Linked DNA regions of Drosophila melanogaster. The protein of the gene in region 1 interacts with the protein of each later gene in a biochemical or structural test. Each region holds a gene or a part of one and is shown on either strand. Other genes may lie near its edges. The genes, in order: Grip91, Grip84 and gammaTub23C.

What was found.
Region 2: the proteins of Grip91 (region 1) and Grip84 form a complex in vitro, tested with the Drosophila melanogaster proteins (one study listed by BioGRID).
Region 3: the proteins of Grip91 (region 1) and gammaTub23C form a complex in vitro, tested with the Drosophila melanogaster proteins (one study listed by BioGRID).

Annotation. Positions count from the first base shown.
Region 1 is NC_004354.4:13,739,552-13,750,120, reverse strand, and holds the start of Grip91 (Gamma-tubulin ring protein 91), read left to right. Parts: upstream 1-5,437; 5' UTR 5,438-5,722; coding exon 5,723-5,837; intron 5,838-6,386; coding exon 6,387-7,805; intron 7,806-7,879; coding exon 7,880-8,072; intron 8,073-8,143; coding exon 8,144-8,465; intron 8,466-8,977; exon of another isoform or gene 8,978-9,228; coding exon of another isoform or gene 9,229-9,443; intron 9,444-10,008; coding exon of another isoform or gene 10,009-10,141; exon of another isoform or gene 10,142-10,377; intron 10,378-10,569. Other genes in the region: Pdcd4 (programmed cell death 4), read left to right, coding at 3,273-3,345; CG11151 (uncharacterized protein), read right to left, coding at 9,229-9,443, 10,009-10,141.
Region 2 is NC_004354.4:19,555,112-19,567,360, reverse strand, and holds Grip84 (Gamma-tubulin ring protein 84), read left to right. Parts: upstream 1-1,596; 5' UTR 1,597-1,891; coding exon 1,892-1,947; exon of another isoform or gene 1,948-2,053; coding exon 2,054-2,588; intron 2,589-2,668; coding exon 2,669-3,175; intron 3,176-3,242; coding exon 3,243-4,285; intron 4,286-4,347; coding exon 4,348-4,669; coding exon of another isoform or gene 4,670-4,708; exon of another isoform or gene 4,709-4,851; coding exon 4,852-4,950; exon of another isoform or gene 4,951-5,565; coding exon 5,566-5,784; 3' UTR 5,785-6,021; downstream 6,022-12,249. Other genes in the region: car (carnation), read right to left, coding at 1-1,019.
Region 3 is NT_033779.5:2,968,400-2,978,529, reverse strand, and holds gammaTub23C (gamma-Tubulin at 23C), read right to left. Parts: upstream 5,640-10,130; 5' UTR 5,472-5,639; coding exon 5,423-5,471; intron 5,365-5,422; coding exon 5,162-5,364; intron 5,102-5,161; coding exon 3,926-5,101; 3' UTR 3,672-3,925; downstream 1-3,671. Other genes in the region: CG3165 (uncharacterized protein), read right to left, coding at 177-943, 1,000-1,288; CG9641 (uncharacterized protein), read left to right, coding at 1,745-3,352; Rrp1 (recombination repair protein 1), read left to right, coding at 6,233-7,274, 7,336-7,413, 7,476-7,816, 7,879-8,538; Ts (thymidylate synthase), read left to right, coding at 8,960-9,925. UniProt on the Drosophila melanogaster protein: Tubulin is the major constituent of microtubules. The gamma chain is found at microtubule organizing centers (MTOC) such as the spindle poles or the centrosome, suggesting that it is involved in the minus-end nucleation of microtubule assembly.

The DNA.
Region 1 (10,569 bases):
ACTTAGTAATGAGAGCGAGACGTGTTTACGTAATCGTAGCAGCTATAAAGACAACACGCCCCCAAAGTAGTAGTGTACCCCCTATAAACTGGGGCTATACGTACATACATACATTGTTGTTTACAATCTTAAAACTCAATATACTTATAGTCTCCATAAAAAGCGGCGGGTCTATCGATCAGATCGTCAGCTATGTTTGTACTTACATACATGTACATATATACATACATAATTAAAGGTGTGGATTAATTGTTAATAAGACCTTGGCATTCGGTTTGATAGCAAAATGAACTAATTGTCGATTTTGTTATGATTTTGCTTGATTATTCTATTTTTGGCGAAGGGTAGACTTACATAGCTAAAGATTTATGGAGGCCATTCGTTTGTTCTAATTTTCGCCTATGAGTGTAAACAGTATTGGACACATACATATGTAAATATGTAATGATCAAATAAATATGATATGATGACATTGAGATATATAAATAATTAGGATTACACTTTAAAGTACATATTTTTTATCGTTTTTAAAAACTAGTTAATATATTTCGTTCTTTATAGAATGAAGTTGAATTGCTATTATTTTAACCGCTGCTGTGCTGAAATGTGCATGCATGTATGTACATACATACATACGTGTTTATTTTGTGTTTTTGCCGGCTTCGACTTGTTTATTGTTCTCCTATTTTTTTTTTGGCGTCTTCGTTTTTTTTGTGCTTTTGGCTGATTTTCTTATACATACATAGGCGACGGCTATTACATACATGCAGACGTGTTTTGTTTGGGTGTATATGTATTTGTATGTTTGTTTATGAATTTTCTATTGCGCAGTTTAGTTTCGCATTTTGGAATTAACTTAACATTTGTGTATGTACATACTTCGCGTCATCCGTTGAGGCAGTCGCCGATTGCTTTTGGTTCTTTTTCGTTTTTTTTTTTTTTTGTATATTTGTGTTGCGTATTTTCTTATTGTTTATGCTGTTGTGCCGGTTTATCAGGTGCCGGCTAGTTATGTATATTTATTCTTTATTCCGAGTTCTTGCTTGCCTCCACTTTTTCTGCGATCAGCTTTATTATTTTCCCACTTTCTGTTTCTTTATGGTTTATGGTTGTGTTTTTGCTATGAGTTGATGGGAAATCGTAACTGTGTGACTGGTTATGCATACATATGTATGTATGTATATACATAAGTATACGGGTATGCACAGATGCAGATGCAAACATAAGAGGACTTCTGTTTTCAATTGGTAATTTCTAATACGACGTTCTAAAGTTGCGTTGGATTTTCGGGATCCTGAATCCCTTTGGTATTATCGTAATTATTACTATTTAACAGATTTACTTGGTATAATGCTAGCATGCGGGTTATTATTATTACGTTATTTCAACAATACTTTTATTTAATGCATAGGCCTGGCAAAAGGGTAATTAAAAATCCATATTCTTCCATCGTGTGAACATGTGCAACGTAGGGATTGTTTGGGAGGGGTTTGGTGGGGTGAATGTGGCTGGACGTCTCTTATCGATTGGTTTTTTATCACGGCAAACTTTGCATTGCTGAATTGTTGTTGTTTTGCTTGGACTTTATTATGAATTCTGTTGTTGTTTGTTGGTGCAACAACCTGCATGTGGCTCAAGATCGTCTTGGCGTGTTGTTGTTGCTTTTTGTTTTGTTTTGTTTTTAGTGTTTGTGCGAAGGTAAACATGGCTGCCAAGTTGCTGTTATCGACCTGCTCTGCCACTCCCACTTTAGTAGTGCTGCTGTTGTTGCTGCTGTCGTTGTTGTTACTGCCACTACTATAACTGCATTTGCATTTGCATTTCGCCTTGACAGCGGCTATTGCACTTTGCCACAGCGCGCGACAGCCACAAATGCAATAACAACAACTGCAACAGCGACTAGAATAGCAACAAACTGCAGCAGCCGCAAAGGCACAACAGCACAAACACCGCTCATTTTACACCCAACAACAACTGCATTTGACGCCAACGCAACTACAACTGCAAAAGTTGTTTTTTTCATTCTGTTTTGGTTTTTTTTTAAAGCTGAACTCAATGCCAAGAGACTCAGACATAACGGTTCATGAGGCCCAGTGCTGGCTGTTTTCCAGCTATATTCTAATAACTCCAATATATTCGCTTTAAGAATATATGTGAAATAAATTAATAAAGTATGGTATAGAATCAAGTTCTTGATCATTTTTAGTTAGTTAGCTTAAAGAAATCGTAGTTGTAATAAAATGGCAAATGCTTCATCTATAAAGTAGCCAAACTGCCAGCACAGCGCTACAACTGGCTGTGGTTTTTTTCTGAGGTCTCCGCTCTTTTATGCTTTTGCTTTATTATTTTTGATTTATTTTTATATATTTTGTTATTTGTTTAACTCTTGTATTTACTTGCTTTGCTGATCGCGCGCTTATCTTGCCTCAATTTTAACTGACTCTTCTACACCAGTGCACTTGTGTGTGTGTTTGTGTTTATAAATAGATATGTATGTATATTTCTGCATTTAGTACCCCACTTGGTCACATATTTATAGTAGCAACAATTAAGGCTCCAGCTGGTTTTTGCCATTGTTGTTGTTTGTTTTGTTTCTAGGCCAGAATCCTTTGATTGGCCAGCTTGGTGGTGTCCCCCTTTAAATATATAAAACTAGTTTTAATTTACCTCGCTCTCCCCACCTTCTCACCACCCCACTGCATTTGGTTCACCCGCTACTTTTGCACAGCTGTTGCAGTAAAGAGAGCAGTGGAGAGAGAGAACCTCAACGGGAGAGAGAGACTCCCAACGGGAGAGATAGAGAGAGAGAGAGCGAAAAAGGGTCAACGGTTGAATGAACTTTTGTGCAAATTCGTTGTTGTTCTTGTTATTGTTGTTACCAAATTTGCGCCAAGCATTTCGCAACTTGTTTTTTGTTTTCTCCTCTTTGTTTTCTTGTTCTTTGTATTATATTTGTTTTTTTTTTGTTTTGTTTTAGCGGCAATGCATTGCATAATTGTAATTGCTTAGTGCGTAAGGCAGCGCGAGAGAGAGAAAGAGAACGAGATAGTATTATGCAGTTGCATTTCACATGCATTTATTTCTTTGTTTAAGAAAAGCTACACCACTGCAAAGTCTTTTAAAAATAAGAAAAAAAACATTGTTTAACAATAGCAAATGTGTATCAGGCTAAAATGATGATTTGTTTACCGAACTTCAAGGGCCATTATATTTACTACTACTCGAATTGTGTTACCGATTTCTGATCAATTTTCCCCGTTTTATATTTGCAGCGGACGCAAGCGTTTCGTTTCGGAGGGCGACGGCGGCCACGTGAAGCCGACTACCTTCACCATGCGTGATTAAATCATAGGGACAACGGGGACGTTATATGCTGCACATGCTTATATGACCACTGCCCCCAGCCACCCAATGACAACTAGAGGAGCAACAAGAGAGAAGCAAACATTAAACAAAAACAAAAAAAAAAACACCAAATTACAAAAAAAAAAAACGAAAATTCATACGAACGCAAAGAATAAATACACCATTTATAAGAAACAAAAGACGATATGAAGAATTTGTCGCAAACTTGATAAAAAGAACTTATCCTCAGAATCCAGATAAGGACACAAACGAAAAACAAAAACAAGCAAAAAAAAAAAACCACAAAAAAACAAACAATCAATCGGAATTTGATCTCCGTTTAAACTATATTCATTATTATACTACATAAACACCTACAACGTATATCTTACCTACATGTAACTACCAGCGTAATTCGAAAGTATATTTTAAATATTTGTTAAAAAAGGAGATATGAGTGAAACGATCACAAAAAAAAGAAAAAGAAAGAAGAATCCAGCCAAAAGTATGCGGGGAACCACGAGCAGGAGCAACAGGAACAGAGATGGGTCGCTTTTTGTGGCTAGGATCTCACATAAAGGATGCGAGTGGGCGTACTTAGCACGACCGTCATTATGCCACATGAAATCAAAGCATATTATTTACATGAAACTGTTATAGGCACTCGTACACACACACTCACACACACCTCTTGGGTTGATTGAATTGATTGAATAACTTGTATTTGGAACGAACCAATGATGATGATTTATGCTATCAACGCAATCAAAACTCTGATGATTACACAAAACAAATTCCATTGACTTGAAATTGAGAAAAACATTTATAATATTCCTATGCGCATCGAAAACATGATTTTCCTTAATTTTTTTGTAACTTTGTGTGTCAGAAGACTAACATAATTAAGCTTAATTTTACTTTATACGTATATTTACCCACGGATTCATCTTATTCTGCTTGCTTTTTTTTTTTTTTGATTGAATAAAAGCTGCATTTTATATGATAAGAAAAAGACTTTGTTTTCGCCGCACTTATATTTTAAAATGTTCACACTTCATGAAGAAACAAAATTCGACATATTCTTAAAAATGCGCGCCCACACATCTATATATATTTAATATATATATCTACATATATATATATATAAACTAATGTGTTAAAAGCAGAAAATATACATCAAAAATAAAAATTAAAAACATATTTTAATGCGTTTTCAATGGGCAAATTCGTTTATTTAGTTGGAAATAATTTAGGATCGGGCCAACATTTATTTTGCTTTTTTTTCGTTACAGAAATCTCCGGATATTAAATGCAATTACGTATAGAAGTGAGTAAGGTAAACCGGATGAGAGTTTAACTATGTTCTAAATTAAATACCGGAGGTTTCTGTTTCAATACACATTATATACATTATATATTATTTCACATATTATTTCGCGTTCAAATCTGGTGGCGAAGAATCCTTCTTGGTCACCGGTTCACTCGGTGGTTCCAGCTTGATTTCTGGGGCTCAGGATTAGCCCACATATTGCTAGGTAGTTGGGTTGGCTGCTCCAGGTACTGCTCCACCGCATCCAGCTGCTGATGGCCCATTGCGACGAAGGAAAGTCCTTGTCCATTGGAATTCCAAGACATCCTTGCAGCACCTTAAGCTTTAACTCCCCCAGCAGTAGGTATCAAACACGACTTGTAGCCAATTACAGCCGTTGGTGTGCTCCATGGCGAAACGCAGTTGGTCAGTCTCATCTATGTCTTCAGCCTTTATATTAAATATTAACAATTTTAAAGTTTACCATTTTTGCTTACAAGCAATTGCAAATGCAAAACGGACAGTGTGACCAGGCGAGTGAGAGTTGGAAACGTTTGCGGCCCCAGAGCTGTCAGATGTTTGCAATGGAATTAACATAAAAGCTGAAAGCTGCACTTCTAAACATAACTGTTATACAAAAATGCTACATTCAGTAACATTCCGACAGAAATACATTTTTATAGTAAAATGTAGAACGATAATCAAAATGGCATAGCCTATTGCAGACGAGCGCTGCCAGATCGCTGCACCTTCGGCCAGTGTGTGCCCGCCAGCGGCTAGGACTTTGCCTTGTCAAGTTTCCCAGATTCGGTAACACTGCACTAAATAATTTTAATAAATTATTTGTATGAAGTACGCGCCAATTGGATGCGTTTTTGTCCTATCTGTCGAAGATTTCACGCATCCCGAACAATTGCCAGTGACTGCACGCCGTATTATAGCCAGGGAACAGCTGTGCGTTTGCCATTGGCCAACAGTTGTTGTCCACTTCGCAATTACCAAGCCATCCAAAATCGGCTGTTTAACGCGCGCTTGATTGGATATTTATGAACAATTCAGTGCACCAGGATGTCGCAGGACAGGATCGCCGGCATCGATGTGGCAACCAATTCCACTGATATATCGAATATCATTAACGAGATGATCATCTGCATCAAGGGCAAGCAGATGCCCGAAGTTCACGGTGAGATTTGGGAATGTGCAATCACTCACTGGCTGTCCAGGCACGCAAGGCATACGGACTGCTCTGGCATTCCGGGAAGAAGGCCTCCACCCTTGGGAATCGACCACGTGCTTCAGGATTATAGTTAATCCCAGAAACTCAACATATTTCATGGCATTTTCAAACAGAGAGTCCTTGAGATATGCAACTAACAATACATATACTTATATTTTTATAGTTCTAGATTAAATGTAGCAATAACCATTGCCAAAGTGTGTTGCATAGTCGTAAATGTTCAAAATTAATGTATATATCCCACAAACAATTCAAAGTATTCAAAGATATTTATCCGAAAGTAGATAGTTTTGAATTGTTTTTAAATGACTATTGATCACATATACTTAACTATAAAAGTATGAGCAAGTTTCTTAGATCCTCAAGGTCCTCAATACGTACAATTTCCAAATCAATGAATCTAAGGATACGTAATGCAACACATACACTAGACACTATACATAATTGTAGGCTTCATTGCCCTTGTTTTAATGCACTTTGTTCAATCTTTTGCAGAAAAAGCAATGGATCATTTAAGCAAAATGATTGCCGCCAATAGTCGGGTCATTCGGGACTCAAATATGTTGACTGAGCGCGAATGTGTCCAGAAGATAATGAAACTGCTGAGCGCCCGGAATAAGAAGGAGGAGGGCAAAACTGTGTCGGATCACTTCAATGAGCTGTACAGGAAACTCACGTTGACCAAGTGCGATCCGCACATGAGGCACTCGCTAATGACCCATCTACTTACGATGACCGACAATTCGGATGCCGAAAAGGCAGTTGCCAGCGAAGATCCACGTACTCAGTGCGATAATCTCACTCAGATTCTGGTCAGTCGTCTTAACTCAATAAGTTCCTCCATAGCCAGTCTGAATGAGATGGGAGTGGTCAACGGAAATGGAGTAGGAGCAGCAGCGGTAACAGGAGCAGCAGCGGTAACAGGAGCAGCAGCGGTAACAGGAGCAGCAGCGGTAACAGGAGCAGCAGCAAGCCACAGTTATGATGCCACACAGTCCAGCATCGGATTGAGAAAACAGTCCTTGCCCAACTACCTGGATGCAACAAAGATGTTGCCCGAGTCTCGACATGATATAGTGATGAGTGCCATTTACTCCTTCACCGGCGTTCAAGGGAAGTATTTGAAGAAGGATGTGGTAACGGGCCGTTTCAAGCTGGATCAGCAGAACATCAAGTTCCTGACCACCGGCCAAGCGGGCATGTTGCTGCGGCTCTCCGAACTTGGCTACTACCACGATCGAGTGGTCAAGTTTTCGGATGTATCGACCGGTTTCAATGCCATTGGCAGCATGGGCCAGGCCCTGATTTCCAAACTCAAGGAGGAGCTGGCGAATTTTCACGGGCAAGTGGCAATGCTTCACGATGAAATGCAGCGTTTTCGGCAGGCCTCGGTGAATGGAATTGCAAACAAGGGGAAAAAGGATAGTGGGCCCGATGCTGGCGATGAAATGACGCTATTCAAGCTGCTCGCCTGGTATATAAAGCCACTGCACCGGATGCAGTGGTTAACCAAGATTGCCGACGCCTGCCAGGTAAAGAAGGGCGGTGATTTGGCATCGACCGTTTATGATTTCCTTGACAACGGTAACGATATGGTCAATAAATTGGTGGAGGATCTCCTAACTGCCATTTGTGGCCCACTGGTGCGCATGATCTCCAAATGGATTCTGGAGGGCGGCATTAGCGATATGCATAGAGAGTTCTTTGTGAAGTCCATTAAAGATGTGGGCGTTGATCGGCTATGGCACGATAAATTCCGCCTACGATTGCCAATGCTGCCCAAGTTTGTGCCCATGGATATGGCCAATAAGATACTCATGACGGGCAAATCCATTAATTTTCTAAGAGAAATCTGCGAGGAGCAGGGTATGATGAAGGAGCGCGACGAACTAATGAAGGTCATGGAATCTAGTGGTGAGTTAAGGCATGCTCTTCAAATTGGATTAGCGAAATCGAATGATTTAAATGCTCCATGCTCTTATCTACAGCCTCTCAAATCTTTTCGTACACACCGGACACCAGTTGGCATGCGGCCGTGGAAACGTGCTACCAGCAGACCTCCAAACATGTCCTCGACATTATGGTGGGCCCACACAAGCTGCTGGATCATTTGCACGGAATGCGGCGCTACTTGCTGTTGGGCCAGGGCGATTTTATTAGCATTCTGATTGAAAACATGAAGTTAGTTTTCTTGATGAATGTAATTGAAACTTTTCAATTTCTAATGTAACACTTGAAAATCGCCTTTTCAGGAACGAACTGGAGCGACCGGGCCTTGATATATATGCTAACGATCTCACCTCCATGTTGGATTCCGCTCTGCGCTGTACGAATGCCCAGTACGATGATCCTGATATTCTAAACCATCTCGATGTGATTGTTCAACGACCGTTCAACGGTGATATTGGCTGGAACATCATCTCGCTGCAGTACATTGTCCACGGACCACTGGCCGCCATGCTGGAGTCGACCATGCCAACGTACAAGGTGCTCTTCAAGCCACTCTGGCGCATGAAGCACATGGAGTTTGTGCTCTCGATGAAGATCTGGAAGGAGCAGATGGGCAACGCAAAGGTAAGTGGCTGGCTATTAGACTTCTTATCGGTTGTTTCGAGTGCATGCACATATTTTAGATTGCCAAGTGCCACTCAGAGTGCACATGGTGATTCCAGTGGTCAGCGAACTGCTAGCAAGCGGACTCTGCTTTCAATACACAAGTTTGGCTTTTGTTCCCAAGGTAAATTGGGTCAAACTTTTGACTGATTGGCTAGGAGGCAATTAGGGAAATTATAAATATATAGGGAATATCTTGACTTGTTTGAGTTCTTTGACTGCCTGATTTATGAACTTACCAAACCTAAAATCAAGCTTATCTGGTTGAGAAAGCTACTATACGGATTTTTAGAGGTTTTCAAAGATTACAAACAATTTATAGGCTAATCTGGCAACAGGCAGTTGTGGGGGAATCTATTTTTGTGGTTCGAAGTGAAGTCGAAGTTCGAAAGGTTTTAGCCAAGAAATCGACTACAAGAGCTTGATAAGATTGCCCGCTCTTGTAATCTAATCCGCAGCGATTACCCACTTACCGATAAAACCCATTTGTAGTATCAAAGTGCACAGGAATTTGTCGTTTTCGCCTTATGTATTATTTTCTAGTTTTGTAGACGGGTTTTTCCGTACAAAAATAACATTAATTATGTGGTGAAACAAAAACACGAATACAGATTACAAATTACACACACGAAAAAAAAAAAAAATTGTGTAAAAGGGAACACACACACACTGTCTCGTTGAGGAATGTGCTAACTGGGCTGGGTTATTGTTGATCACTCCTTTTTTACAACTTGGCGTCGGTCTTCAGGAGCGGCGCCAGCTTCTGGGTGAGCATGATGTTGCCGGCGATCTTCAGCTTGCCCTTCATGAAGGCAGCCTGGGGGTTCAGCTTGCCCAGGGCGATGTCAACCATGTCCTCGTCGGCGACCGTCAAGGTGGTGTCCACCTTGATGCCCTGGGCAGGTCCCTCGTAGGCCTTGGCGTTCTTGCAGTCCAGAGCTGAAAGTGGTATTCGTTAATAGGTTGTTCATTTGCTCATTGGACTTGGAATATGCTACCAAAGTAGACATTCGATTCTTAAAACTAGCAGATAACTTAGCGGATTTAACTTAGCACGATTTAATGTATGTATATATGACAACGTTTTAAAGTGACTTCTTGTGCAACAAGTGGCATACATACATGCATATATGGCAAGTATGTTGTTCTGTTGCTGTAATATATATTCTCTAAATCGTGCAAATAGGCAATTCAGTGGCTTTTGTTAATGCCAACAGCTGGTGCCGAAGTACAAACGCCGTGCACTTTGAACTGTGACTATTACAAAATGCAAAACACACACACACGCAAAGACGACGTACTAGTATTCTCCACTGGCCAGGAGCGCCAACAGAAGGGGGCTTAGCAACTGGGGGGTAGGAAAATCACCAACTCAGAGTCCGAAAGTCCCCTTCGGATTGAGCCCATCTATGTACATACGCCCCTGTGCTGCGCGTTGGGAGTGTGTGTGTGTGTGGTGCGTGTTTTTATGGGCTCCATTGGGCGATGGATAACTGATACTTACTCCACTCCTTGGCCACCTTGCCGTCCTTGGTGATTTTGTACAGGAACACACCGTTGACCGCCTTGGCCTTGGCCTCGTTCTCCTTCAGTCCATCGATGATCTTTTGGAAAACGGCGTCCGACTGCAGAGACATGGTTGTTGTTGTTGTTGTTGTGGGGGTATTTCTGTGTGTATGCGGTTTTGTTTTTCCGGAAGAATAAAGAAAATATTCAGTGGGCTTGTGCGTCGTAGAAATAAAAGAAAAGTGCTTACGCTTTGAGAGCGGAACGCGAAGTAATGAGCAGAAGGCGTGCAATCGGCGATTTTATTGTCGCTTTTTTCACTACACTGCCCCTGTTGTGTGGGAGCGGGATGGTCGTATAGCAAGTTGCCGGTCGCGATATGTCGCCCTCACTCGCACCTGTTGCATTCGCATAAGCCTTGTTGTGCTGTTATTGTCGCGCTCCCTCTCTCTCTCGCTCTCTTCCAAATGTTAGCCAGCTGATGCACAGTGGGCATGAACTCAAAATAAAGTGGCTGCACGAAAACCTTTTGCATATCAGATATAGCTTTTATTTATAT
Region 2 (12,249 bases), 5.8 Mb from region 1:
TGGGAGGTGGCGTGCATCTGGACGTGAATTTCCCGTGCCTTGCGAGCGAGCAGCTTGGTGACCTCGTTGAAGTGCTTGTTCCGCAGCTCCGCGTACAACTGCTCGCCGGAGTGCAGTAGGATGGTCTTTTTCTCGGTGTCACCCAGCAGCGACTGCGATTCCTCGACTCGTGGGCCACTGCCTCCGCCTCCGGGAAGGGCTCCGTCAGAGGGAAAGTTCTCGGCGGGCAGCGTCAGTTTGTTCTGCCGGATGCCGTAGAACTCATCGATAAGCCCCTCGTAGGTGAGTTGTGTGGCCAGCGGGCTGAGCAGATCGATGCTTCTGTCCAGAAGGATCAACTGATCGACGACACCCTTGTCGCCGTTGTACAGAGTCCGCTCATCCCGGCCCAGCTGCTTGGCGTGCTCCCATACCCTGTGCGCAAACTCTCCTTTTCCGTAGATCTTCGGAATGCGACCGTATAGACGCTGCAGCTGCACTAGGCCCACTGCCGCCTGATACAGCGAGCTAGTGTCACCGTCCACACTCACATCGCGGAAGGCATTGGGCATCTCCATCGATACCAGGTCGACATCCAGCGGCAGATAGTTCCAGGCCAGTTCCTCGATGTTTCCGAAGCTGCCCAACACGCCGCTGACCTCCAGTTGGCTGACGCACAGACATGACCGCCTCGGGGCGAACAGGATGTGGTACTGCCGTCCAGCGGCCGCTCTTCCGCCTGCCTTCACGTGGGCGGCCAGCTGCTCCATCAGCGCCACGCGTGGGCGCATCACGTACACCACATTGGCCACCTCGCGCGGCAAATGAAGCTCCGGCTTGAGGGCCAGCAGACGGATGCCTCGATCAGCGAATAACTTTGGCCGGGTAACCAAGTCCAGCGGTCCGATCATGGTCTCGTCCAGCACAATAACCTTGGAACCCTCAATGCGGTCCAGCTGCTGCAGCAGCTCGCGGCAGGCGGCCTCCTGCAGCAACTGCAGGTTGACCCGCTGACCATGGCCCTTCAAGTGGGGGAACATGCTCCTTTCCTCTTGCCAGAAGTGTTGATTCGTATGCTCTGCGGCTTCCGGTCGGTCGCTACCGTGTCCTTGGTGGGCGGTTTGTGCAGTGCGTTGGTGGTGTTGGTGCAACGCCCACGGATTTCGGCTGCAGAAGATCAGGGACGCGACTGTAATCGCTGCAAAGCAGCTGATTTGGACTGCGCCTGCGCTCAGCAGTGCGGTCTTACACTTACCCTTATGGCACGGTCACACTGTCCGCTGCTCTATGGGCCATTCACACTATCACTTGCCTGCAATTTAAAATCAAAACAGTTGCCAGATATAAATTTTGTTGATTAAACAAGAATATAAAGTTAAGATAGAATAAAATAATAGAGGAGTAGTTTCAATTATTTAATCTGTGGGTAGAAAGTATTTCTTATTTATTTTTTATGTACAGCTTTTTTCATTTAACAAAATTTGTATTTTTTCAATGCTTTGCACGCTTTAACGCAAATAAGTTACAGTAGTGGCCAGTCCAGTGTAAACTATGCTAAACGCACCCCTCTTTTTCGCCAGCAACCAGTGTCACCACATCCTCACAATTAAATACCAACAAATGCCAATTTGCATCAAGTTGCTTGTGCTGCTCATTTCAGTTTAAATTGATTCCGAAATTGCTGCAAGCGCGTAAAATAAAATGAGCATCTGCGATTTTAAAACGGCTAAGGATTGAAAAAAAAACTAGAACATTACAAGGACAGATGACAACCCTGTCGCTGCAGTCGGCACTCAAGCAACCCGGAAAAGAACAACAAAATATTGAGAAGAGCGGCGCACTCAAAAAGAGCTCAATTGCCGGTTATAACTGTAAATTGAGAAGCGCGGAACTATAAATTGCCATCTCCGTGATGAGTAAACCCCATGCGCTGCGCGGTGTGCTCGCCAATTTGATCAGCGAGTCGCAGTAAGTGGATTGAGTGCACAGGTGGCCAGTCGATCTAGCCGTTGCTCCTGCACCGCCTCTTTCCCGCCATTGGCACCATAGTTTACTGTCATTTTTTATCCCACAGATCGCCCCTAACTCCGGAGAGCATCATTCGGGAGTTTCGGGCCACTAGTGATCGGCGGCTGCCAGCCTGCGATCTGATCAAAGTCCTGGTGTCCATCAGCGAGAAGCGTCCCAACTTCGCAGAGGTGACCAAGGAGATCTCGCACATTCTGCAGAATAAGGATCCCATGTACGCACTGCTGGTGTTCGTCGAGCGATACAGCGAATGCAAACCAGTCTCCGAGAGCAGCAGTTCCACTAGCCTTTCAGCGATGGGCTTGCCGCACGGAAACAAGACTTCGGATGTTAATTCCGCAGCCGGTTCAGTCCCCACCACATTGGCAATCGCAAGCACCTCGACAATCTTAACCACATCGCAAAACGTATCTGGTTCCACCAGGCTTAGCTTGACCCAGTCCCAGGACTTTCCCACCTCGACGCCGGTGAATTGCAAAAAGGCCACTGAATCCGACACTACACCCGTAGTCTTTGTCAGGCGCGGCCCAATGGACCGTAACCGTGGAGCGGGCAAGGATGAGCGCAACGACTTAAGTGTGGTGAGTGCAGACTAAGTATGGTGTGCTGTTCGCTGCCAATTACTTGGCCCCTTCAAATAATCAATGATCAACCCACACAGATCAAGGAACGTGTGCTTAATGCCGTTTCCGATCAATCCTTGAGCGGCTACCGCTCGGTGACCAACAAAACGGGCAACAGCCCAAAGTCAATGCCGAATGACCTGGTGACGCTAACTGATGTGCCCGATGAGTACCGCACCCATTTACTGTGGGAATACTACAAGGTGGACGGGGACAAGGTGCCGAGGGCAGAGATCGCGGCAATGCCGCTTCTCAGCCAGGAGAGTATGCTGCTCGACGAGCTGCTGCACTGCCTCACGGGCATAAGAGAAAGCCTCCTGGTGCCTCAGAAGCCAATTATTTCTGCCGTTGGCCTGGCCAAATACGACACGGACTTTGACATACACACGCACCTCGATCGCTCGCTGACACACCAGGTGCGGGAAATCTTGCCATTGGCCTCCTACTTCATGGGCGTGCAGAAGATAATCGCGGCTACCGACGGCCTGGGTCAGGTGATGAACTCATTGAATGAGGCACTGCAGGAACTTACACACGACTTCTATGTAAGGATGTGCAATCGTGTCGTGGCAAAATTTTTCCCTAACTAATCTTTTTTTCCACCGAGCCTAGCTGATAATCGTACAAGCCGAACAGGAGCTGCGCCACAATAGATTAACATTGCAGAAACTACTGTACTACCTGCAGCCGACGATGTGGGTGATGCATGAGGTCTGGTCCTCGTTGGTGATCATTCAGCTAAGCGATTCACGGGATGCCGAAGTGTTGACGTATTTACACGAGCGGATCAAGCGGCTGGAAGGCAACAAAGATGCACAACAGCTGATTATCGGACTGGTGCGCAAGGCGGCCAAGCCGTACATGCGAATGCTGCAGATGTGGATCCAGAAGGGCGTGATCGTGGACCGCCACCGGGAATTTCTCGTAGTGGACAACGAAGTGATCCATCGCGACGAGCTGCCCGAGCACTATTCCGACGATTATTGGGAGAGACGGTATACCTTGCGCGACGAACAAATACCATCGTTTCTGGCAAAGTATTCGGATAAGATCCTGCGCACCGGCAAGTATCTCAATGTGATCAGACAGTGTGGCAAGCGCGTAATGCCCACGCAAGAGATGAACCTAGAGTTCGACCCGACCAGCGAGCGGCACGTGTCCGTCATCAACGACGCTTACTACTTTGCCGCCCGCATGCTGCTGGATGTGCTGCTAACGGAGAACGACCTGATGGGTCACCTACAGTCGGTGAAGCGTTACTTGCTGCTCAACCAAGGCGACTTCACCATGCAGTTCATGGACGCCTGCGAGGACGAGCTGACGAAGAACGTGGACCACGTGTTGCCCATGACGCTAGAGAACCTGCTGGGACTAACGCTTCGCATTTCCTCGGCGCGTAATGATCCCTACAAAGACGATCTGCACTGCGAGCTGCTGCCCTACGACCTGGTCACGCAAATGTCCAAGATCATGAAGAAGGAGGAGAACTGGCAGGCACAGCCTCGCCTCGATCTTAGCGGCCTCGAGTGCTTCGCTTTCACCTACGAGGTGAAGTGGCCCTGCTCTTTGGTGCTGAATCACATTTCCATCTCCAAGTACCAAATGCTCTTTCGACAGCTCTTCTACTGCAAGCACGTGGAGCGCCAACTGTGCAAGTGGGTTCCCGATCCTTAACCTTTTATGCCCACGATCATTTAAGTTCTTCTCTCGCAAACAGGATTTGGAAGGAAAACTCGATTGCCAGGCAGTTCGAGCCGCAGGCGGCTAGTCTCTATCGAGCGGCGTTCACTCTGCGCCAGCGTATGATGAATGCCATCCAGAACCTGGAGTACTACATGATGATCGAGATCATCGAGCCCAACTGGCACATTTTCATTGAAAAGATGAAGACGGTGGAGAACGTGGATAACGTTCTGCGTCTCCACCAGGACTTCCTCGACTCGTGCCTTAAGAACTGCATGCTGACCGAGTCGTCGCATCTGAATCGTTCGATCTTCAAGCTCTGCAAGATCTGCCTGAAGTACTGCGAGTTCATCCAGGTGAGTTCCAGTTACAGTGCGAGGGTACCGGGTGGCTAAATTGCTAAATTTTTGCGTACAACCCTTCTTCCTTTGCTCTGTGCTTCGTGCTCCGTGCTCCGTGCTCTTAATGCTCTATGTCTATCCCGCTTGCCAACGCTTCCAACTCTATGTGGAATCCTTGCTAATCCCCACCTTCGCAGATCACGCAGCGTTACTTTCAGGACGCTGAGCTCAGGTCGATGGTACGTGATAGCGCGGACAGCTCCGAATCCGAACAGGAGAGCCTGCACTGCCCACAGGTATTGCGTAGGCTTGTGCTCAACCACGTTGTTCCTTGCGGTTCCTGTGTTCTCGCTCCCACTTTCGTTATCGGTGGACCCATTTCCGTTTTGTGTCCAGCTGGATTGCATAATGGCGTGGCCCCGATTTTGATAGCATTGTTTCTTTTATTTCGAATTTGGATTGCATGCTTTAAGTTATTTTTGATTGGCTTGCCTATGCATTAGGCCATTTGCTTTCTTTTGTTTTTAAAACCTTAAATGCATCTTCTGGTATCATTAAATTACTAATGCAGAAATAATCTACAATAAGTAGATTATTATTAAGTTTTCCCTGATTATTATTCCTTCTTAATGAATCTACTTACAAAACGTAGTATTGTTTGGAAAAAATGTTTTGAAATTCAGTTAAAACAATTTGTGTAAGACCAACTTAAGCGGTTAATCTATATATTTTATATACTTATTTTTATATTTTATATACTTATACTTTTGTGTATACGGATGCCACAAAATTAGCCTGAGTTCGGGAAGAATTTGTATATACATAAGAATTCCCCCCAAATTCAGTGTATTTGTGACATCCTCACATGTATGTTCCAGTGATTAACTTGTGATTTCTTTGTCCCCTGCTAGATTGAGACCCCGTTGGATCCGACAGATACGTTTTCGGAGCGGGTTAGGCGCTTTGATCTGGAATTTACCCAACTGCTGATATCGTTCCTCAAGCAGATCAACAGCATGGCGAAGAAGAACACCGCCGATTGCTTCATGAATCTGGTGCACCGCATCAACTTCAATGCCTTCTACACCGATCAAATGGACAAGATGTGTGTAGAGGATGCCATTGGCTAAGCCAGCACGTCTAGAGGAAAGGATGTGGATGTGGATGTGGATGTGGACGTGGAAACGGAAACGGAAAAGACAAGAACAAAGTATTAGATAAATGAATTTCATAATCACAAGCGCACATTTACCATCATTCCCCACGCATGTCTTCTCATTTGCCATCCAACAAAGCGCACCAATTGTTACCCGTTTAGTTATACAAATTCGAATATGTATGAACCAATAAACCAATTAAAATGTCCTTCGCTGCTGCCGTTTGCGTTCACACAACTGCAATTTACGGCACTGGACACGATTTTCGATTGCAACGTAAGCCAGTGGCGTAGATTGCAGATTGTGCCGCCAACCAAGATATTGTACTTCGTCGTCAACCAGGTCATCCGCGATAAGCTTGGCCACTCTGTTTAGAAATGCACAAATATCCTAGGTAGCTCTCACCACTGGTTTATACATCGAATCAGAATGATAGCTGAGATCTTGGTTTCCAGGATGTTCATCATCGTTTGCTCCTGCTACGGGGTTTGCGGTTTTCCCCCATCCTGAAGCCTTTCATATACGAAGCTTATGTCGTTGGTATTTGGCCAGTTCTTAATTTAAGCTAGCCACTTGGATTTTTGGAGTGGAAGCAAATGCAAGCAAGAAACCATCCAGAATTTTAACCAAATTTGATGTTAGTAAACTCGTGATGGGCATCAATGTGGTAGCTACGCTGTAAAGTAGGCAACAAATATATTGTTCCCTGCGAAGAGAGCATTATTTTACTAAAGATCAGTATGAGAACGAAGAACTATTGTTAAGTATGATAAAGAGTGCAAGAACATCTATAAATATTATGTGCATGTATATATGTGTATTCAATGGTTTAATATACATATGTATGTATATTGCGAATTTAGTATGCCCTGATTTAGTTTCAAGTTCGCACTGCGATTAAGCATGAACTCGAAATCTGAGCTCTAAAATATTATTGACTGCTTTTAAGTATAAAGTATATGCTATATATAATCTGGCATAAATAACAAGTTGTGCTGCATTCGCTTTAATCGCATTTTTCTCAGCGCCCATTTCCCTTAGTCGCAATATGGCGAGTGGAATTTTCCTGGTTTTTCATCGTTGTCCGATGGTTTCTCCGCTTTGGAGCCACCGACTGTCCAGGAGCACACATGGCATAAATATACATATATGTATATATATGTACATACATATGTACGAGCCGATACACACCCACAAAAGCCAATTTCTAGGCATTTGTATGTGGGTGCAAGTGACCACCCCCCCCCCCCCCCCATCAACCACTTTTGTACATACATATATATGCATATAGATGTATATACATACATACATACCCTGCTATATGTATCATCTGCAAATATTGGAGTATATAAATATGCAGTCGCCAGTGGATGTGGGTTCGTTTGTATGTTCGCCATTAGCCGTCATCAATGTCCAACGGTCATCTCTATAACATCTCCGTCACTCCACCACCCATCACCCACCATCCAGGCTCCCAAACTCCCAGCACCCGGATAGACCACCCTACGCCCACAACTCCACAAGCAATTGGCAATTTAAGCTCGCATGAATTATCGACAATCAATTATGGTTTTTGGCCATGTCGCTCTCCGGGCTCCATCCTCGTCTATCCTTTTCCTGCGAATGGTCTCGGCAATCGGACTACTGGACTGCTGGACATTTGGCCAGCCGGATAGCCAGATAGCCAGATAGCCAGATAGCCAGATGGCCAGATGGCCAGTGCCACATAGCCATATATATGTATGCCCATCGACTGTGTGCGATTGTGCGCGCCTATATATGTATGTATGTTAATTAATCAAAAGCCCATCTATCCATCGATTCGGCATTTACAGACATATGCAAATGAAAGGCGCACAAGCAGCTCATTAATGTGCGCAGAAAAGCCCCCAATAACAAATTCGCTAATAACAATAATAACGGTGACGAAACATGTCGCTTTAAAAACAAAGCCTCCACTCGCATTGCATTTTCCCCAAAAATCATCGAAGTCAACTTTTTCCATTCGACCATGTGAATAAACTATCTCATTATCTTTAACTCCTTTTAGTGATAGTCGTCGCATTCGACGAACACTCTCCCGGTGCGCTTCGTCACTACGTGGATAGACGTTTCGTTTGCTTGCTGGTTTTACAAACGCAGCAATTTTTTAATTGCATTATTACTCTTCCGATCTTATATTGTGTTAGAAAAAAAGTATTTTAAGTTAAGAAAAGTGTTAGCAATAAGTTTTAAATAAAGTTTGCGGTTTTAGATAATAATCTAATTGAATATCCAAGGCAAAGTTATGCTGAAATCAAATGAAAATTTAAATGAATATCTGATCTGAGTATAGGGTATCTGATAGGGAAGGCACTCGCGCACTTTAAGTTTATAGTTGTATGTATTGCAGTTTTTTGTTGCTATATGAAATCTTAGTTGTAGTTTCGTACAAAACATGATTTAGACAACGTGAATATCTCATCAGATTTCGAACACTGAAGATGTGATATTCGAGTTATCTAAAGCATACCTTGTTTGTTGATTCGTTGTGTTGGGATTCCCCGGCGCGATGTTGTTAGGTGCAGTGCACCGGCATTGATGATAACTAATCCAATGTTGAGAACTAATCCATTGGAGATGGCCTCACCAATGCCGCGGCACTGCATGGCGATGCCCACCACCGCCGTTGCAGACATTCCAGTGCATCCGTCGATCCTCGAATTCTGTGAAATCTCTGAGTGCAAACGACTCCCACATCTGTACCGGATGCAAAACACATACAGGATGTAGGAAGTGTTTAAAATCAAAAATTCAATATTGCCAATTGGATAACTTGGTGGTCCGCACTTTCGTATTCTCCGCTTTTAGTTGTTCATTTTTCGGTACTTGAGTGCTAAATATGTTGAACATGCATGAACATGTGCAATATATTTAGTACTCCAGTGCCGACAAGTACATACATATATAGGTTGTCAATGTCCTGGAAACTTTTTGCCATAATACCAAGACTTCTCCTATTCTAGATATTCTAAAAAAACAATAATAATAAGTGTATAATATAATGGGCAGCATGATGTTCGTGTTATTTTTCGTTTCGTTGTTCATTTTTCGGTACTTGAGTGCTAAATATGTTGAACATGCATGAACATGTGCAATATATTTAGTACTCCAGTGCCGACAAGTTTGTTGTCACACAGCTCAATGTCCTGGAAACTTTTTGCACGAATACCAAGATTCTAGATATTCTGAAATCATTCAAAAATATCATTCGTATAATACATATAGAATGTATAATATAATGGGCAGGACGAGGCTTGAGCTTATTCAATTACAAGGCCATTCAGCAGGACGGATGTGCCTGGCTCGACACATCGCCCATCCGTTCATCCGTTCGTCCTTCTTCCATCCGCCACTCTAGCAATCCACCAGCTCCATCTCCAGCTTCCACATGACACGTGTCCTTGGACAATGGGCCGCACTACAAGCGACCCACTTAGAAGGAATCCCGCCCCCCAAAAGACCAACGCCCCTCCCCCTCCCCCTACCAAAATCAAGGTATCCGTTAATTAGGCAATACAATATACAATATGCTCTAATTTTGGACTCTAAAATGCGATAGCTTTCAATCAGCTCAAGTCTCAGTTGATACTAAATAGTTTCCTAGTTCGATTAGATGTATTTCTTTGAATATTAACTAGTTTTGGCTTAAATATAGAAGCAACACCCATTTCAAAGAGTAGATTTCCATTTAATGAAACCACTAAATTATAAAATTTGAAGGCCATCTTTAATTCGATTCCATTTTCTTAAGAAAAAAAGCCCAATGAAAGTATTTGTATGTTTACCACTCAAAATGAAGTATGTACCTTCTTGGATCCCCACGGTATCTTCAAATAATCTGACTTATCCGGTTAACTTGGTCGAGTGCTTTTTAAAGGGAAGGGGGGGGGGGGGGGATCGAAAACAAATGAAATGATTGCATTGAATAAGTTTAATAGATTTTGCCACTCAAAGCATGACCCATATACACGTGAACCCGGAAAATCAGACAGACACTTTCCACAATCCCGAACAATCCCAATGAAAATTGGCGAACTTTATTCGCATGTTGTGGGCGTGGCACTCTTTTTTTTTTATACTTTTTGTGTGAGCTTGGTGGGGCGGATTTCTGGTTGGACCAAGTGCATGAGGTGGTTAGTGCCGAAAATTCCGTGCGAAATTAGGAAGCTTCAGGAAAAAAGAGGAGGTGACGAAATTAGCGAACACAGCCGCACACGTGACACGGTTTTTGACTTCTTTTGACTCCTTGACTGCTCCTGTTGCTGTTTGTTTGCTGTTGGCCAAGTGGAGGCACGTGTCGCAGCAAATTGGGTGATGTCCTGCTCGTCCTGTTCGTCCTGGAGGGCCAATGGCCGGGGGCAAGGCCGCTGGCGATGGTCGGGGGTTGCGGATATATGGATGCGGATGTGTGTGCGGATACGGACGTGAATGTCATCCGCATGCCGCCAAACAAAGGCATTGCGCTGACGTCTACGCACGCAACCACACCCACAGCAAGGAGGCGAACGCCCAAAGGACCAGGTCGACACACCACACCTGCCTCGCAGCTCCGAAAAACGGCTGCCCGGTTTCCGGGGCGAGCCTAGCTCCTTCTCGGTGTCCAAACAATGCCAGCACAACAAGCATTTCGCCAGCAAGTGGCAGCACTCATCGGATGGAGTCGCCAGTTGGATTCCCTCTTTGCAGCGATTGCGAAATGGTGAGCATTAATATGTGTACTTAAGTACGTTATAACTTTATACGGGAATTTCTAAAGTCACAGCTAATAATTGAGCTATAATTTTAAGAGATATCCAAATCTATAGGTAGATTAAGTGTAGAATGTGTGAAAACTATTTCAAATCACACCGTTTTGGAATGTATTCAAGCAAATTCACACTTGATAATTAGTACAAATTAAATTGAAAACTTGCTTAGTAGATTTGTAACCATAACTACTGTTTATGTTCCAAAAACTGTTCAAAAGTATGCTGCAAAAATGGAATTTTAAATTTAAATACAGCTAAAAAAAACATCGTTTCTTCAAGTGCAAAGTATACAATTAACCCAACCAAACTGACTTAATTTGCCACTCGCAGGAGTTCCGCCGACAAAGAAAAGGGGAATGGACATGCAACTGGCTTTTGCCCGTGGAAGTGGGCAGGAGGAGCTGACAGGAGGGTGGGCAGGGAGTGGAACACATGTGCAAATTGATTTCGAATTTTTGTGGCATAATTCCACAATTCATTTGATCTTCATTTGGCTGTTATCGCAGTGACTCTTTGTTGTTCCTGCCGTTCGAATCGACTCGCCTGGCTAGAATGGTTGTTACAATTTCACAATTGCTTGCCATCCGACGCTCCGAGAGGCACATCCCAGGACGAGTCCTTGCCTACTCGAATTACCAGCACATTGACATCGACACATTAGGGCAAGTGCAGGCGGAATCGGAATCGGCAATGGGAACGAAGGCGAAAATCTCAGGGAGGAGGGATTCAAATGGGAATGGATTCGATAGGCAATGGCAATGGCAATGGCAATGGCATTGGCGGCGGGTGGAATCGGACAAAGTGAAGCAGTGAGTGGAGTGAAGCAACCACCACCACAGAGTGAGCAGGCGAGGCACTGGAGATTTCATCCGCTGGCCCTGATTCACGCAGTTGTCCATCAGGCCGTCCTCGCTTATCCTGGTTGCTCCCAAGTCGCAGCTCCTTCCCCTTCGGTGCGACAAATGTGCGCTTTAGAGCGACACCCCGAGGTGTTGGCTATCGCAGTCACTTGAGAGGATGACTTCATCCGGCAAGGTCCTGGTCCTGGTCACATCGCGCATCTCCTGTGCATCTCCATCCCTCCTATCGTACGAATGCGTCGGCGCCTCATCGCCAAATCGAGCATATGCGCACTTGGATTAGGACGAAGTGCGGAGTGCCTATTTGAGGATTTGACTTCTCCAATTGCAAATGCCCTTTGAATTCTCGGATTTTTTGTTTCTGGTTATGCACTCATGCATCCGGAAAACTACGCCAACTTGGCTGTCTACATTAATCCTAGCTTAGAATGTGAAACTTTGCACTACTTACAGACAATAAGTGTACAAATAGTAATAATAGTTATTTCCTACAATTAAGTGTTACTTTGTTTTTAGTGGAAAATATGGAAAATAGTGAATGGTAAAAGTTTTAATTTAACATGATTGCTTTTAAAAGAAGCTATGTTCATTTTCCCATTCTCTTTAACCACAATTTGCATTGGTCGCTGAGTAATGAAATATTATTTAAGGGTTAAATCAAGAATAAGGTTTCTAATTAATATAATATAAATATAAAAAACTTTAAAAATAGGCAGAATAGAAACGGACAAACATGCGGACAAAGCTATACGGACGGACAAAGATCGCTTTCCTGTATACTTTATACT
Region 3 (10,130 bases), on another chromosome or scaffold:
AGTGAATAACTTTTTTCTCCGGGAAAGCTGGTTGGACTGGACACTTTTATACAAATATACTTATTATAAAAATATTTATAATAACACATTAAAAATCAATTATTAAAATCCTACATTATAAAAAATATAATAATCCATTACATTTTAAAATGAAGTTCATGCTGGAATAGAATTTGTTAGATTGCGCTCTTTTTTCGACAAACAGGAGAGCCAAGTGGCACCACTTGCTGGAATGGAATGGCCTGCTCCTCGGCGAAGGCCAGGAAATCAATGCCGTAATGCTGTATCAGTTTTGTGGTCATGACTACATCAGCCTCTGCCTGGTGAGCACTAAGTGCTGGTATCTTAAATATTCTCGTGTAGAGACTTTCCAAATTATAAACTCCGCGGGGGGGATAGCGTTTGTTCTCGGCACACTTGCATCCACTGAACAGCTGGCGTCGTGACCTAAACTCATCGGGTTTCCGCTTGGGAGGGGTCTGCTCCTCCAAGTCATCCTCATCGCCGTCGCGTAATAACTTACGCTTGGCGAATGCCTCTGTAGGCTTTAAAATTGGACGATTTGGAGTGGTTTCGTTTCTGGTTCGCCAATCGATGTTCACGACCGCTTCTGGCTCCTTGAGGCAAGTTTCAGTATTCTGTTTGGGTTTCAGCTCCGGAATGATTTCCTGCACATCGTTGGGTACTTTCAACTGACTGGTTTCTTTTTGTTGTGTGTCGTCAATCTCCATGAAGGCGCGCAGTGAGTCAACACAAGTCAGGGATTGGGGAAGCTCTATGTTTAGTTTCTCAAATGCCTGCCTCAGAATGGGAAAATCGAAGCCCCAACCATTGTGAGCCACCAGGCAAACCGGACTCGGCAAGTGCTTTAGAAAACTGACGATGAGTTGCGCGGCATCCGTGTCTAGCTGGGACTCCCGCTCCAGCAAGTAGTTGCTCAGACCTATTGGGTGATAAAATCATTATGTGAATGACTCACGGGTGCATTTTGCAGCTAACCTGTTATTCTCTCCGCTTCCGGGTCCACTACCATGGACGGCTGGAAGAGCACATTCAATTTGTGCAGCACCCGCGGTGCCGCTGGCAGCTCCTGCTGCTCATCCTGGTCCTGCTCCTTCTTTTTCTTCTTAAGGAGCGCGGCTTCAAAGGCGTAAATGCACAACTCCGTAATGCTCACTCGGTTGTTCCTGTAGGCAGGCAAGTTGGTGGTCTCTAGGTCCAGAACGGCAAATGTGGAAATCTTTGGCTGCTCCTCCGCGTGCTCCGCAACTGCATCGTTCGGAGCCATTAAGAGCGCAACTGGTGGCTAAAAGTGCATGTACATAGTATGTACATATATTTCGTTTTATTCAAAATGTTTGAGGACCAACACGGAGTTCTCATTACATTTGCCAACACTACTGTTGCCTTGAAAACATAGAGATGGCACAGTGAACTATCGTGACAAACTTATAAACTCAGTGTGTGCACTAACAGAATTGTTAATTTAAAAAAAAGACGGTTGAAAAATATACCAGATTATTGCCCAATCTAGTCAACTATAATAAATGATTGGCAAGAAAGCGCGCTGGCAATACTAAACTTAAATTTGACACTAGGCTCCCGTGTCACGCAAAGCAGGCCAGGATTTGCTGTCTCTAACTCAGCGGATGAATTACACCTAATTCCTCACTTTTGCAGCAAACGTCGACAAGTGCAGTTAACATTTTGTGTGAGTATTAGAACTAACTAGAATAATTAGAAAATGGAGGCCACCTACCGCCAGGAACGGGAATGGCTCAATGCCCGCGCTCCCATGAATGGCAATAGTTCCGCCAACTATGGCCCTTATCGCGGCTATGACGGCTTTTTCGGCCAATTGGGCCAATCACAGATCCCAAATCAGACCCAAATGGGTCAAACTTTGAACGGCTCTGCCTCCTGGTCGTTCCCCTCCATGTCCTCTGACTACCACCAATCCCCTGCTGCCCCGCAGGCCAACTCTAACTGGAGCCGCGAAAGAGTCAACTGGAACAACGAAATGCGTCGCGACCCCTCGTATCAAGCTGAGCCAGGCAACACCATCAATCGCTCGTGGCCCGGCAACGGCGGCCCTTCCGACGGGAGCCATTGGCCCACTCCGAACTCATCCATGCAGGTGACATCGGGTGAAAGGGGACTGCCGGAACACATTCGCAAGGAGCTATCGCTCCTTGGCCCCGCCAAGCGCAAGTGGTTCTTTCGCTATCTGGACACGGGCATCAGCAATGAAAAGGCCCTTATGAAGGCCTCGGAAAGACGCACCAGTCCGGTACGTTCTGAGTGGTACGACAAGTCAGTTTCGGCTGACCGCGGACGCAGGCGTCCGGAGCAGCCGATTTCGGATGATCGCGTTCGCAAGCGTGCGAATGATGATAACTCGTCGGGCGGTAGAGCCCATGAGGATGTAAAGAAGCAGAGGGTCCCAGAGCCGTCATGGACCTCGAAACAGAATAGTATTACCATGGCAATAATGGCGGAAACTTATCCGGATTGCGAGCTGACTAATCAGCAATTGCATGAGATCGAAGCCGGCCTTGTGGAGGAGTTGAAAAAGGGTTGGAAGTCCAGCATCAATTTTGGGGGCATTCAATTTCTTACTGGAATGATCCAAGTTGTCTGCATGGACAAGAACTCCCGCCAATGGCTGGAGCATGCGATTTCCAAGATCACGGCGTTACCGGAAACTAAACTAATTTGTTGTCCGGAGGATGATATTCCGGCCACAAAGGGAATCACAGTCAGAGTACCACGTTCAGCTGATGAGCCCGATAAGGTCACGTTTCAACTTTTAAAAGACCAGAATAGCGACCTTCTGTCGAAGACTTGGGAATTTGGCCGTATAAGCCAGACCAAGGATGGCAAGGTGGTAGTAATAAGCTGTGGCAGTAAGTCTTACAACCTGGTGCAGAAGAAGGGCTTTTGCCTTAGCTACCGTTTTAACCAGCTCAATTGCCGCGAGATAAGTGGCAAGGAGGCCCTCAAGGCGGTTCGCAGCTCAGAGGCTAGGTCCACCGCCGAGTTATCTGAAATTGACCTAACCGAAGAGGACGGCGAAGAGTTCATTTCTCATCTTGATCTGACCGTTGTGGACGAAGTGAAGGGAGATGATGATGATGAAAATGAGAATGAGATGACTGAAGATCATGATGAGGTGGAAGAGGCAGCTGAAGAGCAACACGATGATGTGGAGTTCATTGAAGAGGAGCCGGGCGAGAAGAGCAATGATGTAGAGGTCACTCCTGAAGCGGAGGGCGAGGAGTGCGAAGAGCCTCATCAGGAGGAAGAGAATTGCAACGCTGAGGTGGTTAATGAAGACACATGCTCCTTGTAAGCAAGCCGATGGGTAACGGGATTCATGGTAACGAAAAACTTCCTTGATTTATAAAATGTGCTTTATATATCTAACTCTTTTCTTCTTCAATACAATAGGAACATTTTAAACTGAATAACACACCCTAAACATATTTGACATACGAAATGACATGACAACGGAACAAGGACAGCAGTATCGTGCAGCTTCACAAGTGAATTCTCACTGCAATATCAGTTCATACTGCCTCAAGTCGACATTAACCATAAGGATTTCATATTATAAAATACACCAAAGAAATATGTAATATACTTCTCAATAAACACTCACTACCACATTTAAAAACTGTTTTTTATTTAATGTGTCACATATTAAACATGATCGGGAAATCTCATGTGTAATTTTGCAACAATGGAAATACGAACGTTAAATATCGTAAAAGACGAAACAGCGTTTACATACATGCGAGTCATACCAACAATCGTCTTATCACTACTACTTAAGGATTTCGAATCCCATCGTCATTGGAGAATATTACATTTTAAAATACATTGGTTAAGATGCATGGCACGCATTTCTTCTGGCACAAGCGAACTAGGAACCGGCGCTGGTCACAGATCGACTATCCTCCGACTTGGAGTCAACTGGCCCATTTCCCCGCTTCACTGAAAACTGCATGTAGTCCTCACGCGTGGCTGCCTCATACTCTTGCACCAGGCAGTCAACAGTTTCGCGAGATTCGTCCAGCTCATTGAGGTCGTCCTTGAAGATGTCCTCGCGTCGAAACTGGTCAAGAAAGGCGCCGCGCTTGCGAAGCTTGTCATACTGGTTGAGAGCTCGCTCGAAAAGCGAGCAAATGCTGGTGTGGTTGGCCAGCATCAGTCCGGACACTCGATGGTTGCTCTGCACGTAGGGCGATGAGCGGGAAAGGGCTACCTGGATAGAGGTGGGGCCCCAGGGAATGAACTGGGCCATCTTGCGGTCGCGGATGCGCTGCAGTGACTTGTGCACTTGAGTGGGATCCACCTCGCCCTGGATAATGTTTAGAATGGAGATGTAGCAGTGATGATTTGACTTGTCGGGACCAGTGGACACCATCATGTTCTTGGGCTGCAACAGACGCCGCATTACATCTAGAACAGTAGTCTTTCGCACATTAACCAGCTGCTGGGTATGGATATCCGAATCGCTAGTCAGCGGCGTGTAGCCTGTCATGAGAAAATGCAGCTGGGGCGTCGGGATTAAAGGAGCCGTCAGCCCAATGAGATTGTTGTTCATGTAGGATGGATACCTCAGCGTAGTGGTGCTGACGCTCATTATGGTGGAGACCAGGTTGTTGATCTGCGAAAAGCTGGGATTCTGAATGTGCAAGCGATCGCAGGCAATACGATTAAGAGCAGTGTTGTCCAGGACAACCACACTGTCCGCAGCCGTAGTCAAACGTTTCAGGGTGAGCATGGAGTTGTATGGCTGCACCACTACATCACTGATCTCGTCCTGATTGGGAAACACACTGAATGTTTGGATAAGTTTCTTGGGATAGCGGTCCGCCAGGCGCTCCATGATAAAGGAGCCCATTCCCGATCCCGTTCCGCCAGCAATCGAATGGCAAAGTATAAAGCCCTCCAACGAATCGCTTCCATCTGCCTCACGGTCAATGATGTCGAATACCTCTTCTTGCAGCTTTTCGCCCTGGCTATAGCCTGAGGCCCAGTTGTTGCCCGCACCGCCTCCGTGCTTGGATAGGTACACATTTTCCGGATTGTAGAGCTACGGGAGTTAATAGTAGGTTTGGCGCAAAAAATTAAAAGTTATTTAGAGAGGACTCACCTTGGAGTAGACCGAGCCCATTATGGTATTGATCACCCTCGGTTCCAAGTCCAAGAGCACCGCGCGGGGTATGTAGTGGTCGTCGTCCGCCTGGTAGAAGAACACATCCTTGCGGTCCAAGCCATCATTGGCAAAGTCCTCCAGCACGCCGCTAGGGGAGATGCCATGCTCCAGGCACAATCTTTTCCAGAACTCAAAGCCAACTGCGTTTAAACGATTTTAGCAATGCAGATGGTACTCGTCCTGATTTCAGAAACCTACTTTGATTGCCGCACTGCCCAAGCTGCAAAGTAATTATTTCACTTGGCATTGTGGTGTGTTGTTTCCGGCCAGAATCGTCAAGTGAAGTTTCGCGTTTAAGGTCGAATTAGTCGAAATAAAATAAAACACAACTAAAAGATCGTCGAATTATAACAAAATTTTTAAAAAATCCCACAGCGGGGACGTACTTTGTAATTTTAAGAAAGTCCAGTGTTGATAACACCGCAGCGTTTAATGGCGTCCTCATTTGAAAGGTGGCGCAGTGTGCCCTCTGTTATAAAATATATATGATTACTTAAGACCTTTATTGTGAATTAAATAAATAAAAATAAACATTACATTTTTCTACTTTGTATTTTGGAAAGGCAAAAAAGTGTTGGAAATCTAAGACTATGAGTTAGAAAGATCGAAACATGTCATGAATATCAATCTAATAGTTCAATACTAAGCTTAACTTGAATATAATTTTCTATAAGAAAGTTTTTCAATTAGGTTATTGAGCTCCACCCATTTTGTACTACTAATGACGTCGAACTATTTGTACTACTAGTGACGTCACAATGTGCAATATTTGCTCCACAGTCGTGTTTTTCCAAGGAAGGCACACAAATAGTGTTGTAAGCAGACCAAAGTCAAGCCGACCGGCTTGCAAAAATCGCGTTGCCCGCGCAGTTTTCTTTTTGTTGATATCGGGTGCTGAACCAAGCGACAGTGGCTCTGCAAAACAAGCAAAAGAAAAAGCTGGAAATCTGTGGAAGTAAATACAAGTCATTTTTGAGAACCTATCAGTCCGAGCAGTAGAACTCCATAATGCCGCGTGTCAAGGCCGTGAAAAAACAAGCAGAGGCGTTGGCATCTGAACCCACTGACCCCACTCCAAATGCCAATGGGAATGGAGTCGACGAAAACGCAGACTCTGCCGCTGAGGAACTCAAGGTGCCGGCAAAAGGAAAGCCGCGCGCGAGGAAAGCCACCAAGACGGCTGTATCTGCGGAAAACTCCGAGGAAGTCGAGCCACAAAAGGCGCCCACTGCAGCCGCGCGTGGCAAGAAGAAGCAGCCGAAGGATACAGACGAAAACGGCCAGATGGAGGTGGTGGCCAAGCCGAAGGGACGCGCCAAGAAGGCAACTGCAGAAGCAGAACCAGAACCCAAAGTCGATCTACCAGCTGGAAAGGCAACTAAGCCACGTGCCAAAAAAGAGCCCACTCCTGCTCCTGACGAAGTGACGTCTTCACCGCCTAAGGGACGCGCTAAGGCTGAGAAACCAACGAATGCCCAGGCCAAAGGACGGAAGCGAAAGGAGCTGCCGGCAGAAGCAAATGGAGGGGCCGAGGAAGCAGCAGAGCCGCCGAAACAACGGGCAAGAAAGGAAGCAGTACCAACGTTAAAGGAGCAAGCTGAACCAGGGACAATAAGCAAAGAGAAGGTGCAGAAAGCTGAGACAGCTGCCAAGCGGGCACGCGGAACCAAGCGTTTGGCAGATTCTGAGATCGCAGCTGCTCTCGATGAGCCGGAAGTGGATGAGGTGCCGCCAAAGGCTGCTAGCAAGCGAGCAAAGAAGGGAAAGATGGTTGAGCCATCGCCCGAGACTGTAGGAGATTTTCAATCAGTACAAGAAGAAGTGGAATCGCCTCCAAAAACTGCAGCTGCACCCAAGAAACGCGCCAAGAAAACAACCAATGGTGAGACTGCGGTAGAACTTGAGCCAAAGACCAAGGCAAAGCCCACTAAACAGCGCGCTAAGAAGGAAGGCAAGGAGCCAGCACCCGGGAAGAAGCAGAAGAAATCCGCCGATAAGGAAAACGGTGTAGTTGAAGAAGAAGCCAAGCCCTCTACTGAAACCAAGCCAGGTGGGAAACTGTCAAATCAATGTAAATGATGAAACCATGATTAACTATCTTTAATCCGCAGCTAAAGGACGGAAAAAGGCTCCAGTCAAGGCAGAGGATGTCGAAGATATTGAGGAGGCAGCAGAGGAAAGTAAACCAGGTGGGCACATTGTCAACAATAACTTTAATATCAATGCCACGCTAATCATATTCTATTTGCAGCTCGAGGCCGAAAAAAGGCGGCTGCGAAGGCTGAAGAACCCGATGTCGATGAGGAGAGTGGATCGAAAAGTATGTTAGCGGAGCAATCCGGCTGCGGTGGAGCTGCCGTATTAAAAAGCTTGCAAACCATGCTCAACTTTTGTTTTCCAGCCACCAAAAAAGCCAAGAAGGCCGAGACCAAAACCACTGTAACATTGGATAAAGACGCTTTTGCCTTGCCAGCAGACAAAGAATTCAACTTGAAAATCTGCAGCTGGAACGTGGCCGGTCTGAGGGCCTGGTTGAAAAAGGATGGTCTGCAGTTGATTGACCTCGAGGAACCAGACATTTTCTGCCTGCAGGTTAGCTATCAAAGCTATCCACACAAAATTGAAAAACACTAATAATTCCATATATTTTAAAGGAAACCAAGTGCGCAAACGATCAGTTGCCAGAGGAGGTGACCCGACTGCCGGGATATCATCCCTATTGGCTGTGCATGCCAGGAGGCTATGCCGGCGTCGCTATTTACAGCAAGATAATGCCCATACACGTGGAATACGGCATTGGCAATGAGGAGTTCGACGATGTCGGGCGCATGATTACGGCTGAGTACGAAAAGTTTTACTTGATCAATGTGTACGTGCCGAATTCAGGCCGAAAGCTGGTTAACTTGGAGCCCCGCATGCGCTGGGAAAAGCTCTTCCAGGCGTACGTGAAGAAACTGGACGCTCTAAAACCGGTGGTCATCTGCGGCGACATGAACGTTTCCCATATGCCCATTGATCTGGAAAACCCGAAGAATAACACCAAGAATGCCGGCTTCACCCAGGAGGAGCGTGACAAAATGACAGAGCTGCTGGGCCTCGGCTTTGTGGACACGTTTAGGCATTTATATCCCGATCGCAAGGGCGCCTACACCTTCTGGACATACATGGCCAATGCGCGAGCACGCAACGTTGGATGGCGTCTGGACTATTGTCTCGTCTCGGAGAGATTCGTGCCCAAGGTGGTGGAGCACGAGATACGCAGCCAATGCCTTGGAAGCGACCACTGCCCGATCACAATATTCTTCAATATATAAGATGTACACTTCGTTTGTGTTTAAATGTACTTCTGGATTCGTCATTATTACTTTGTTTCCTCTCCATATATGGTTTTTATTGTATTTGATTATCCATCGCTGTAGAAATTGTACGTCCCTATCTAATCATTTCAAAATGCCATTACTCTATTACATTCTGTCATAGATCCACCATCAAAATTCGTATTTTTTTAATAAAGTGAGCTACTGCCCCACGTTCGAACTTTGTGCTCAAATTATTGGCCAAAAACGGTTGGATTTAAATTTTTAAAAATCGCTAGAGGTGATATAACCGGTCGACATCGATAAATGTAATCGCTTGCCTATCGGGTCGAACCGAAGCAATAACTAATTCCCGCCAATTTTCGAGCAGAACTCGATTTATTTTGCGGGAAATATATACATACATTATTTTTGCGAAATGGTTTTAACACCAACGAAAGATGGGCCCGACCAGGAGAGCATGCCGTTGCCGGCCGACAATGGGGAGTCACCAAGTAAACAGCAGGCCCCTGTCAATCGGGATGAGATGCACTACTTGGATCTTCTGAGGCACATCATCGCAAATGGAGAGCAGCGGATGGACCGCACGGAGGTGGGCACTCTGTCCGTGTTCGGCAGTCAGATGCGCTTCGACATGCGGAACTCCTTTCCTTTGCTGACCACGAAGCGCGTCTTCTTCCGCGCGGTGGCCGAGGAGCTGCTGTGGTTCGTGGCGGGCAAGACGGACGCCAAGCTGCTGCAGGCGAAGAATGTGCACATCTGGGATGGGAACAGCTCCAGAGAATTTCTGGACAAGATGGGGTTCACGGGGCGAGCCGTTGGGGATCTGGGGCCGGTGTACGGCTTCCAATGGAGGCATTTCGGGGCGCAGTACGGCACCTGCGACGACGACTACAGCGGCAAGGGGATCGACCAGCTGCGCCAGGTGATCGACACCATCAGGAATAACCCCTCAGACCGTCGCATCATCATGTCGGCTTGGAATCCACTGGACATCCCAAAGATGGCCCTGCCGCCGTGCCACTGCTTGGCGCAGTTTTACGTCTCCGAGAAGCGCGGTGAGCTTTCGTGCCAGCTATACCAGAGAAGCGCAGACATGGGCCTGGGCGTACCCTTCAACATCGCCTCCTATGCCCTGCTCACCCACATGATTGCCCATGTGACGGGTCTGAAGCCGGGCGACTTTGTTCACACCATGGGCGACACACACGTCTACCTGAACCACGTAGAGCCGCTGAAGGAGCAACTGGAGCGCACACCGCGACCCTTTCCCAAGCTGATCATTAAACGTCAGGTGCAGGACATCGAGGACTTCCGCTTCGAGGACTTTCAGATAGTCGACTACAATCCACATCCAAAAATCCAAATGGACATGGCCGTGTAGGCGACCTTGAAATCAATAGTTCTGGCTTACTTGAGCAAGCAGAATCTTCAACTGAGTAGGTCGCTCACAAATATCTTACTTTCGTTTCAATTTCCAGAAAATTAAACGAAAATTGTTAACCATATATGTATACAATAAATATTATTATAGTCTTCACGGAAACAGTTTTTAAACACATCATTTCATAGCTTTATTTGAATAAATT